3 linked regions of the Cricetulus griseus genome follow. The protein of the gene in region 3 binds, or shares a complex with, the protein of the main gene of each other region. Links are inferred from orthologs where the notes say so. Each region holds a gene or a part of one and is shown on either strand. Other genes may lie near its edges.

Region 1 (3,318 bases), on a different chromosome or scaffold from region 3:
AACATCACCCTTAGCAGTCCGCCCCTCTCCAGCCTGGTCCACAGCCTCACCTAGCCTGGAACTGGTATTCATGGTTGGGCACCCCAATGTCCCAGAGGATGATCCGTTTGTCGTAAGAGGCAGCTGTGGGGGGGGGGGTTGGGGGATGGAGGGAAGAGGGTAGCCCTCAGAAGATCCCGCCCCCTCTTGCAGGTTGAATCTGTGAGTTGGGTCCCTCAACTAGCTTAATCAGAAGCAGGCAGAAAGGGCAGCAGACTGCGGCTAGGACAAGAACTCGGGGCCACAATCCCCAGTCCTGTCTGAGCCCAGTGTGCACAGCATCATAGCCGTCTTTGTAGCACATCTGGCTCCTTCGTTGGGCTCACCATACCCAAGGGGCAGGGTTATCTCCCTTGGTCCCAGGCAGAGTAGAAGCAAGGAGCCCAAGTTGCTAGGAAACGTCAAGGCTGCATAGCATGCTGGAATGGAGATCCTGGTTGGTCAAGAAGCTACCTCACTTCTGACTAAAGCCATCTGGGCCCAGCATCCTGTGAGCCTTGTCACCCCAGAAAAGAGACCCAGGACAGCAGGGCAGAAAGACTACAGTGCTGATAAAGTTCAGAGGTGAGGGTCTTACTGAAGAGGTGGGTCTCGTGGGTGGGGCTGAAGCAGAGGGTGGCAATGGCCTTCTTATGGGCTCGGATGACGCTGCAGCAAAAGCCTGCACGCACATGGAGCAGCCGGATCATGCCCCGGAGGCCTGCAGCTGCCAGCATGTTCCAGCGCTTCTTGTGTCCTGCCTGGGTGACCACCGTCAGGGCTGTCCAGGCCACCGAGAAGAACTCCTGAAGGGTGGGAAGGAGGAAATGGTCGTGAGCAGGAACAAGTGGCAGCCTGCTTGGAGGGCTAGCCTGGGGCAGTAAGGCCCAACAAAGAAAAGCCCCCAGGAGGGCTGTGGGTGGCTGCGGAGCCAGGGAAAGGGCTCAGAGGCAGAGCAGTTGCAGGAAATAGAGAGCTTAGCTTGGACCCAGCAGTCTTCAGGAAGAGGACCCTGGCACTCACCTCGCCTGGTACCTTGTATTTATGGAGAACGATGCCTGTCTGGCAGTCTATCACGCAAACAGCCTCTCCACCACATGTGGCCACAGTCTGTGATGTGGCCCCCGAGTGTCCTGTTTTATGGTATCAGCCACATAAACAACTTTTCTGTAAAGTGCTTCCCTATAGTCTCTCTTCCAGGCCTCCATGACATTTATTAATAAAAATTATAACAGTATTATTTGTTGGACAGGGGATAGAACCCAGGGCCTCACACGATAGACAAGTGCTCTACCACTGTACTACTCCCATGGCCTTTTTACCTTTTAAACAAATAGTGCATGGTTATGTATGTGTGTCACGTGGGGTGTATGCACATAAGTGCAGGTACTCATGGAGGCCGGAAGAGGGCATTAAATTCCTGGGAGCTGGCGTTACTGGCAATTGTGAGCTGTCCATGGTAGAAGCTGGGAACCAAACTTCAGCCCTCTACAAAAGCAGCAAGCACTCTTAGCCAGTCAGCTGTCTCCAACCCTTGATTTGTTTTTGTTTTTTTGAGACAAGGTTTCTCTGTGGAGCCTTTGGCTGTCCTGGAACTCGCTCTGTAGACCATGCTGGCCTTGAACTCAGAGATTCTCCTGCATCTGCTCCAGAGTGCTGGGATTAAAGGCGTGCGCCACCGCCACCCACTTCCATCCCTTTCTACCCTAAAAACAATCTCACTGAATTCCTCAAGGATCTTTTAATCTGACTGCCACTGAGTACCACTGTGTGACCCAAGCCTCCCACTGCCCGTGGGCCCCAGTGTGTACCCTCCTCCCTGGCAGGCTCAAAGGCACAGGCCCACAGCTGGGTCTCCAGGTCCTTAGGGCTGTTGTTTCTGCTATGGCACTGCAGGAAGTGCAGGGGTTCCAGGTGTAGGGCAGCCTGTGGGGGCACAGGTGGTTATAGTTGCCCCTGGCTTGCTCCCTCTCTGGCACACTCCCCCTGCCATCTGGGGAGCTTACCTGCCCTCCATCAGAGTCCACAGGTTTGTCCTCTGTCTTGGCTGCTGGGGAGGAACACACTCGCTTGATGGAAGGGAGGTCGAGTGGGACATTATCTGGCCGCTTGGAGGCCACCGCTCTGCACTGTGGAAGGAGGGAACGTGCGCCCGTGCCCCAGAGGGTTTCTCCCGTGGCTACAGGCTTAACTACACCCTCAAAAGTATGTAAAGCAAGAACTGAGCTACTGTCACAGGGGGAACTTGGTCTGTGTTAGGGCTGAACATTTAAAATGTTCTCCAAGGGCCCAAAGTTTAAAAAGCTGGGTCACCAGTCTATGGGGCTACTCAAAAGTACAGTGTAGGTGAAGGGACTTAGGTCACTGGGAGGCTTCCCTTTGAAGGGGACACTGGGATACCAGCTATCATGAGATTCACAGACATCCTTGCTGTGTGAGCTCACAATACAAACAGCCTTGGGCCAAGCAACTATGGACTGAAACCACAAACCCAAACTAACCTTTCCTTCCAGTAGGCTAGTTACTCTGGGTATTTTGTCACAGCGAGGGCAGGCTGACTACCATCACCTGAGTTCATGTGGAGGCCCCTCTCTGGTCTAGCTCAGAAAGGCCTGTGGCCCTCACAGCCCTGTGGAAACACACTCACCCTGGGCTTGGAGGCAGCTGCAGCCTGTGGCGGCTCCTTTCGTATGTCAGCTTCCTGCACCTGGGCCCCACCTGAGGCCACCAGTTTCTCAGCGATCATCTGCACCTGGGTAGGGCCAGGCCGTCAGCAGGCTGAGCACAGTCTCAGGTGCCCTTATCCTCTCCCCAGACACCTTGCCACCAGGAGCTTGTGCCTCTCAAAGTAGGAAAAGGGCCTCCCTAGGCACAAGGGCCACCATTCCCTGACCCATCCCATTCACCACTGTCCCCCAATCCATAGAGCCAGGGACTTCTCTAGGACAACCTAGAGCCAGGGAAGCCAACTCCCGCATAGTGTCCCTCATTAGTGACATACCCGCCACTGGGTGAACTCGCTGAGAGACTCAGGGCCATAATGCACGTCCCTGATGGCAGATGTCACGAAGTCAGTCTGGAATTTGTCAGCTTCCTCTTCAGGGTTCACGGTGGCCATGAACTTCTCCCAGTGAGCTGTGACCTGCCAAAAAGGGACCAGATCCAGACCCAGCCCCAGTCCCCTGGCCATACACAGTACCTTCACCCTACATCCTTCTGAGCACAAGTTGTCCTTCTGAGCACCTATCTGAGCTTCTGAGAACATAGCCTCTTATTCTCTACTAGCATAGCCTAAGTCAC
Region 2 (3,638 bases), on a different chromosome or scaffold from region 3:
TCCCCTGGTAATTCTCAGTATTGTATTTGATACCTTTTAGCTGTCCTGGGTCTGTGTCATCTTTCTGTAACTTTTCCCACTGGGAACTAAAATAAAACAAAAAAGGAAAAATAGATTGAAAATATAAGAAATCAATATCCTTTAGTAAAAAGAGCCCCACAGAACATATTCTCATCTAAGTCAGAAAATAGAAAAATAAAATTTACATACGCGTGTACATGTTTTTACCTGTACAAAATCATTTGAAATATATTAACAATGTAACAAAATGCTCAGGTGTTAATTTTTTAGTTATCTTTTTCACTCTGATTACAATAAGCTCCCAGCAGTTCTAATCACTGTATGGAATACAACTGCACATCAATTCTAGTCTGTAATCAACTGAAGTATGTATGATCAGAACACTGAGACCTTCAAGAACACAGTTGGCCGGCGTTGGTAGCGCACGCCTTTAATCCCAGCACTCAGGAGGCAGAGGCAGGCGGATCTCTGTGAATTCGAGGCCAGCCTGGTCTCCAGAGCAAGTGCCAGGATAGGCTCCAAAGCTACATAGAGAAACCCTGTCTCAAAAAGCCAAAAAACAAAACAAAACAAAAAAAACCCAAAAAACCCAAAAAAAATAAAACAACAACAAAAAACAGCCAAATATGAATCCATATTTATCAAAATCCCTATTTTTCAAAAGAGAGAGGGAAGAAAAATCAGAAACTCTACAGGTGGTTAGGCCCAGGCTAGAAGGATGAAGAAAGGTGTTTGAGTACACTGTTGGGTAACAGCTTCAGCTTTTGATGTATTTGTCTCTTGTTTCTTCAGGGCAAGACGTTCTTCCCCACGCCACTTCTCTTGCTTCTTTTTTCAGGGTGGGGTGCTCACTAGGTAGTGGCCTGGAATTTACTTTATAGACCAGGCTGTCCTCAAATTCACAGAAATCTGTCTGCCTCTGCCACCTTAGTGCTGAGATTCAAAGCATGGACCACCATGCGGGTCCTCTCGCTACTGTTCTGAAGTTCTATCTCCAGCTTATCCAGCAAGCAATGTATACTGGCATACTGTTTGACATCATTTAGAGACAAAGTTAAACTCAGTGTTTACCATAGTCTTTTGGCTAGAATTTCCATATTATCACAGTCATGCCAAGACTGTCACTAGCAGATTGCTCAGAGATGCCTTATGAATAGTGTTCTCCATTTAATTCTGCTTAACCTGTTTTCTACAGCTTTGATACATGATTGACAGGTTGAAAAGATAAATATTTGGCTTCACTTCTCTTTGACTTTCTTGAAAATGCTCATCAATTTGCAGGTTTTATTGACTTGCTTTTGTAAGTGATTTTTTGCTTGGAATACTAGAGGTGCTTTCCTTTTTTTTCCGTTTAAACAGTTTACAAGTCTCAATAGCAGACTTAATAATGCTTCTTTCAAAGCTGCTATAAAGTAATTAAGCTGCCTTTTGTGGGGAAAAAGGCCTTAGCAGATGTGGCTGAGTCAGATCCTGAGACAGAAAATTTCTCTTACTCCAGTAGTCCCAGTGAAATCAATAAACCCCTTCCAGCAGGAGATGAGGTCAGGTAGAAGAGATAGTGCTTGGCTGCAGACTTAGAGCCACAATCTGATGAATACAGCAACTACCAGAAGCTGCAGGAATGTATCCTCTAAGAAAACACATTGTTTTAATCTCTGTGTCTGTGGTGATCTATTAGAATGCAGCATTCTACAGTAGGGTCAGTCCCATGTCATAAGGCTTGGCAGCATGAACTTTTACTCACTGAGCCTTTTGTCCAGCCACTATAAGGTTTTTTTTTTTACTCAAGGAATAGATCAAAATAAAAATATAAGTGGGAAAAAAAAAAAAAAAAAGAATGCAGCATTCTAGCTGAGTCTCGGAAAGGACCCTCTGATAACCGGGACAGTGGACACTTCCAGTGCATGAAAGCAGGTCGTCTTCATTTACCATGTTTTCTTCACTCTAGTGCTGAACCTCATACAACCCACATTTCCTGTCTCCATGAGGTCCAATTATAGCTGCGGCTGAATCTTCTCTTTCTACATACTTAATTCGGGGAAGGAAAGGAGAACGTGTATCCTTTAGTTTCACTGAACAACAGCTGTGATATGAAATTAAATAGTTTACAAATTTGAAATATTCTAGAGCTTAGATTTGGATTAGGGAGCTTAATCAGCAAATTCTATACAAACATTCAAAACCACAAACCTGATGTCTGTAACCCACTTCGGATAAATGCTATCTAACATGCTAGAAACATAATTACCTTGATATCTCCCTGAGATAAACGGTCTGCATTGCTTTCTTCAGGTGAGGCTCAATATTTCTCCACAGTTTTCGAGTATCGCGTTCACCTGCTACTCCAGGAAAAGAATTTCAATAATTAAATCGTGTATAACATAATTAATCTAATAACAATATAATGAAATATTAATAATTATAGTTAGTTACCTTCTCCTTTAACTACAGGTTCACAATATTTGGGAAAATTAAGCACTGCCTATAAATTTAAAACGAGAAGACAAAAAAGCAGGACAAAGATTATAGTTAGGAATTTTTCACATAAAATGTTTTATTACAAATTAAGCAATTTTATTTAAAATCAGTATTTAAGTACAGGCTAATTCTAACTTATTACTGCAATAAAGCAACAAAAATATCAATAATGTTAGTACAACAGCATACACACTGCTGGTTAAATCCTACTTAATACATTAGTCTCATATAAATGATAAGGCATTAATTTGTACTCTTAGCCATAATGATGTTTAATAAAAAGATCAAAGCTAGACAATTAACTGCTACTTTCCAGCATGTGAATACCATCATAAACCAAGCATCACCTAATTAAGGATAACTCAATTTAGGGATAAGACCCAAATCTACTACGTGTTTTAACAATCTCTTCAGGAATTCTATGCATTAAGAAGTGTGAGGAAAACTAATTAATCACAACTACTTAATACTTTCCATACTAGAATCCTACTGAAATCAGTTTTAGTGAATTAGTAAAATGTATTTATACACAAAAATGTCACTTACTAACACGAATCTGAACTCAAGTATTTTATGATGCAATGATTTAATAATGAAGCCTAGAGAGGAGTCAGACATAGTAATAGTATAAATTCAAATTCAGAGGACAATAAGTACTGCAAGTAGTTGCAAAGAGAAGGGAATAAAAGAGAGCTATATAGCACAGCCAACTTCTTGCATTAATTTTAGATTTTCAGACCTAAGCACTGAACTAATTAATACTAATGCTTCATCTTAACAAAGCCAGTTAATAGCCCAGCCAAATTCTGCACGGCTCTCCAATATCATGCCCATTTCTCCTACATTTAGTTCTCAAATATCAGCAAATTTCTACTACTTTGTATTAGTATTTCAGCTTACTTAACTTTCTATTAATGGGTCAGGCCAACTAAAGCATTTGCCTTGGGGCTCACACGGGGAACATGACAGCAGGCTTGGCAGACACAGTTATCTGCAAGTAGGAGGTGGAGAGAGCTAGCTGGGGCTTTTTAGAATCTCAAAACCTGCCCCCAGTGGCAAACCTCTTCCAACAAAACCACACCTCCTGATCCTTTCCAAATAGTTTCACCAGCTGGGAGCTAAATGTTCAAATATATGCA
Region 3 (4,360 bases):
CCAGTCTGGTCTACAGAGTATCATTGGCTTCAAAGACAGCCAGGGCTACAGAGAGAAACCCTGTCCCAAAAAACAAACAAACAAAAAGCTAAAATTGATCCCAGCACTCAGGAGGCAGAGGCAGGAGGATCTCAGTGAGTTAGAGGCTAGCCTGGTCTACAGAGAGAGTTCCAGGACAGTAGGGCTATGTCAAAAGGCTCCCATCTCAAAAAAACAAAAACAAAAACAAACAAACAAAAAAAAACAACCATACCAAACCAAAACAACACTGTGAGCATGCCTAGGTGAGAGCAACACTACCTCCTTGAATTTTCCTTCTATTTTAAAAAGAGGATCAAAGTAACAGTAAAGAGACCTAATCTGTAATGTGACTATCCTCGGCTCCCTGTCTCCATGAACAGCTCTCCTGCACAGGCTACCAACCCACATGATGTTCTGCCCAAGAACACCAGACCAGCAACCATGGACTGAAGCCTCTGAATCAGGGAACTTAACACCTTTTCTCCTCTAAATACAATTACATGCCTATATGTGGCATGATGAGACATGCCTATAATCCCAACTATTCAGGAGGCTGCATTGGGTCACAGACCAAGGACTCAAGCACTGGTTACTTCTCTTTTATTAAAAAAAAAAAAACAAAACAAAAACAAAAACAAAAAAACCTGCTGGGGGCTGGAGAGATGGTTCAATAGAAGCCTGAGTTCAGTTCCCAGTGCTGCTTTGGGAACTTGTAACCCCAGCTAATGCCCTCTTCTGGCTCCAAGGGCACTTGCACTCATATACAAACAAAATGAAAAAACTAAACTTTAAAAAATGCAACAATAGCAAACAAAGGGAATGCTTTTAGATTCGACACACAATTATAGTATACCACTTTCTAGGCTACCAAGTTATTTTTGTACATCCTGAAAAGCAAGCAGTTCATGCTACTAGCCAAAAGCTTAGTGTATGTTACCCTCATTGAATACCTTGAATATTTCTTCCCAAAACTTCCACATAGTTCTGATCCTTTAAGACTTCTTGGTCACTCTTCTCCAATTCACATTCTGGCTTCTTTATTATTTTCTGGGGATTAACCAAAAGCTGAGCTTTCTCCTTCTTTAATTTAGTTCCTATAAAAATACACAAAAGGTATGAAAATTAAAGGTATGAATATCTTTTTATTAATTACACACCTACACACACACACACACACACACACACACACACACACACACACACACATATTTTTTTTGAGGCAGGAGTTCACAGTTCTGGTTGTCCTGAAACTCTTTCTGTAGACCAGGATGGTCTAGAACTCACAGAGAGAGCCATCTGCCTCTGCCTCTTGAAAGCTGGGATTAAAGGCATGCGCTACCATTGACTGTTGTGAAATCTTTCTAAACATTTCATTAGAGCCATCCAGATGGTTCGGCAGATAAACTGTGGGCCATACCAGCCTGACGGAATACAAGGGGAAGAAGAGAACCATTTCCAGAGAGTTCTCCTCTGACCACCATGTGCATGTTACATATGTCAGTAGACAAACCTCACTAAATGCATGATTAGTACGTAAAACTGAGAGAAGCCAATGTTTTTCCTTTCATTAAAGATACTAAGTCAGAGGCTGGAGAGATGACTCAACATCTCTAAGGTGTGCTCTAAGAGCACTTGATGCTCTAATAGAGGATCTGGGTTCAGTCCCTAGCACCCATATGGTGGCTCACAACTGTATGTAATTCTAGCTGTAGGGTATCCAATGTGTTGTTCTGGGCACCAAGCACATATGTGGTATACAGACATACGGGGGGGGGGGGGGGGGTGAGGAAGAGGAGGAGGAGGAGGAGGAAGAGGAGGAAGAAGAAGAAGAAATAAACAATTAAGTTAAACACACACCCCCTTGAAAGTGTTAATTTGTGGTTTTGGGGTTAGTGGGCAATCATTTTCTACCACCACAAATCATTTCATCCCAGCACTCACAGGCAGAGGCAGGTGGGTCTCTGTGAGTTTGTGGCCAGTCTGGTCTACAGAGCGAGTTCCAGGACAGCCAGGGCCACACAGAGAAACCCTGGTTCGGGAAAACAACAACAACAACAAAGATGTGATCATAAGCATCTCTTCAACTGTACAATCATACATACCTCCTTCTCTATCAAAAATGTGATTGAGAACATTATCATCTCCCACAAATTGAACATCCAGCACCTTAGCTTCCTTTAACTGCAGTGTGCTCATTATGGCCAACCTAAAAAGTAGTAAGTCAATGTGATGAAGAATTCATACCAAATAAACATTTGTGAAATAAATACAGATATTTACTTAATATTTTTAAAGGTAGAATCATACTATGCACTATGTATTAGTATATCCTTCAATGATGGCTTCTAACTGGGACATGGAAGCCAAGTTCTTTCCTTCTCAAATTGCTTTTGGTCACATTCTTTACCACAGCAACAGGAAATCAAGCTAGGACATGCATTCATAAATCCCATTTTTGCCTTTTCTTCTAGCAAAAAAAACAAATTAGCAACAACAACAACAAAAAAACCTAATGACTATCTCTCACTATCTTACTTATTACAGATAGCTAACAAATGTTAAAATTATAGATAACAAATGTTGCAAATTTTTGTTTAATAACCAGTACAATTGGGGCTGGAGAGATGGCTCAGAGGCTAAGAGCACTGAATGTTCTTCCAGAGGTCCTGAGTTCAATTCCCAGCAACCACATGGTGGCTAACAACCACTTTGGATGACATCTGGTGTCCTCCGCTGGCATGCAGGCAGAAGACTGTATACATAATAAATAAATATCTTTAAAAAAAAAAAAAACCTGAAAAACTGCTGAAATAAAGGAAAATTAAAAAAAAAAAAACAGTACAATTAAGTGGCCTTTTTCATTTACCTTGTAAGGTGCTATGCATTCTGCAGCTTGCAAATTCAGTCACCTGTAACTAGAAGTCAGTCAAGATCAGCTAATAGGTAATGGGAAAGCAACCAGGGTAACCCCACCCACAAAGTCAAGCATTTTAACAACATGATGTGTAGATAACTGTCCTCCAAGAAACTAAAGCTACTATGATGGCACAAAGAGGACAAAATAGTAACAGGCTAAAGAAACCAAGACTGAGAAAAGCATTTAGACTGGCAAGAGGTAGGCCAGAGGAGAAAGCTAAGCACTTACTATAAGCTACATATAGTTTTCAGTACTTTGTGTTCTGTTGTAGTGAAATAGTCTTGTTATGTAGCCAAGGCAAGCCTTGAACTCAAAATTCTCCTGCTCTGCCTCTCAAGTGCTAGAAACATAAGCAATTGCCACCAAGCCCACCTCTTTACATTATTCCAATTTACCCTTCAGAGCTTCAAGAAGTTACACTTTGTAGCAAAAAAAACAAATATGTCATCCACAGAGTCACAACCACATCCAGTAAAGCATGTCCTTCTTGGGTCATTTTATAGCCATATCGATGCTTTCTGTTCCGGAGAATCCAAGTACATTAAAGAAAATGTGTAATGCATCTACATAGACCTGTATGAAGAAACTAATAATTTATACTTGAATGAAAAGGGATTTTTGAGCCGGGCATTGGTGGCACACACTTTTAATCCCAACACTAGGGAAATAGAGGCAGGCGGATCTCTGTGAGTTTGAGGCCAGCCTGGTCTCCAGAGCGAATGCCAGGATAGGCTCCAAAGCTACACAGAGAAACCCTGTCTCGAAAAGAAAAAAAAAAAAAAAGAAAAGGGTTTTATTTTTGGTAGGAACTATATGTAAGATACTGTATCAGGTACCTTTAGATACACCAGAAATTAATAAGACTCAAGAACATATTTGTGTATGTGTGTAATTACTCTATAAATAAGCTGTCAGCTAAATATTAAATGAATCATTAAAATTCACACAATTAGAAATCAGTTTTAGCCGGGCGTTGGTGGCGCACACTTTTAATCCCAGCACTCGGGAGGCAGAGGCAGGTGGATCTCTGTGAGTTCAAGACCATCCTGGTCTACAAGAGCTAGTTCCAGGACAGCCTCCAAAGCCACAGAGAAACCTTGTCCCGAAAAAAAAAAAAAAAAAAAAAAATCAGTTTTAACTGATTGCTAAATTCCTGATCACTTGATTATATAGCTTGTTCCTTTCTCTTTACCTTGCTACCTTGCAAAACATTTCATGCCACTGAATAAAAATCCTGCCCTAATTGCTTGTTCTGCTCTCTGAAAACTATTTATAGCATGTCGTCATAAAACAAAACATTTGGCTCTGAACTTCAGGGCAAGAAGAGGAGAGAAAGGGGAGGGGGACATGACAGAAGAAGACTTGTACATAATTTTCATTAGCAAAGCTAAATAATTTTTGAGAGTGAATTTTCAAAAACTT

Evidence for each region.
Region 1: the proteins of Orc2 (region 3) and Lrwd1 are in contact, whole or in part, in a crystal structure (PDB 8SIU), measured with the Rattus norvegicus proteins. The link is inferred for Cricetulus griseus from reciprocal best matches to the Homo sapiens genes ORC2 and LRWD1. Residues at the interface, in NP_001012003.1 of Rattus norvegicus: Val11, Pro12, Ser13, Val14, Gln15, Phe16, Val17, Gly18, Asp19, Val22, Leu23, Ser24, His25, Ile26, Leu27, Asp28; in XP_038945348.1 of Rattus norvegicus: Pro262, Leu263, His264, Phe265, Leu266, Gln267, Cys268, Ser270, Asn273, Ser274, Pro275, Leu320, Val321, Leu322, His323, Lys324, Tyr325, Lys326, Leu367, Val369, Gly372, Phe373, Cys374, Pro596, Pro598, Val599, Ala600, Val605, Ile630.
Region 2: the proteins of Orc2 (region 3) and Orc5 are in contact, whole or in part, in a cryo-EM structure (PDB 7JPO), measured with the Homo sapiens proteins. The link is inferred for Cricetulus griseus from reciprocal best matches to the Homo sapiens genes ORC2 and ORC5. Residues at the interface, in NP_006181.1 of Homo sapiens: Val240, Glu241, Tyr243, Phe244, Glu245, Ser248, Asp396, Gln398, Arg401, Gly402, Glu403, His426, Asn428, Ala429, Pro430, Leu431, Met432, Trp433, Asp434, His435, Gln438, Trp445; in NP_002544.1 of Homo sapiens: Asp324, Lys325, Phe328, Leu329, Leu359, Asp360, Arg361, Ala364, Tyr367, Ser368, Ala378, Asn379, Phe381, Ser382, Gln383, Thr385, Ser386, Thr389, Asp400, Gln401, Leu402, Asp403, Tyr407.

What each region holds. Positions count from the first base shown.
Region 1 is NC_048597.1:115,118,713-115,122,030, forward strand, and holds part of Lrwd1 (leucine-rich repeat and WD repeat-containing protein 1), read right to left. Parts: intron 3,161-3,318; coding exon 3,020-3,160; intron 2,771-3,019; coding exon 2,666-2,770; intron 2,148-2,665; coding exon 2,025-2,147; intron 1,945-2,024; coding exon 1,830-1,944; intron 1,152-1,829; coding exon 1,042-1,151; intron 825-1,041; coding exon 617-824; intron 124-616; coding exon 51-123; intron 1-50. UniProt on the Homo sapiens protein: Required for G1/S transition. Recruits and stabilizes the origin recognition complex (ORC) onto chromatin during G1 to establish pre-replication complex (preRC) and to heterochromatic sites in post-replicated cells.
Region 2 is NW_023276806.1:171,948,955-171,952,592, reverse strand, and holds part of Orc5 (origin recognition complex subunit 5), read right to left. Parts: intron 2,504-3,638; coding exon 2,455-2,503; intron 2,361-2,454; coding exon 2,270-2,360; intron 87-2,269; coding exon 34-86; intron 1-33. UniProt on the Homo sapiens protein: Component of the origin recognition complex (ORC) that binds origins of replication. DNA-binding is ATP-dependent. The specific DNA sequences that define origins of replication have not been identified yet.
Region 3 is NC_048595.1:412,887,860-412,892,219, forward strand, and holds the start of Orc2 (origin recognition complex subunit 2), read right to left. Parts: upstream 2,926-4,360; 5' UTR 2,888-2,925; intron 2,228-2,887; 5' UTR 2,218-2,227; coding exon 2,124-2,217; intron 1,116-2,123; coding exon 972-1,115; intron 1-971. UniProt on the Homo sapiens protein: Component of the origin recognition complex (ORC) that binds origins of replication. DNA-binding is ATP-dependent. The specific DNA sequences that define origins of replication have not been identified yet.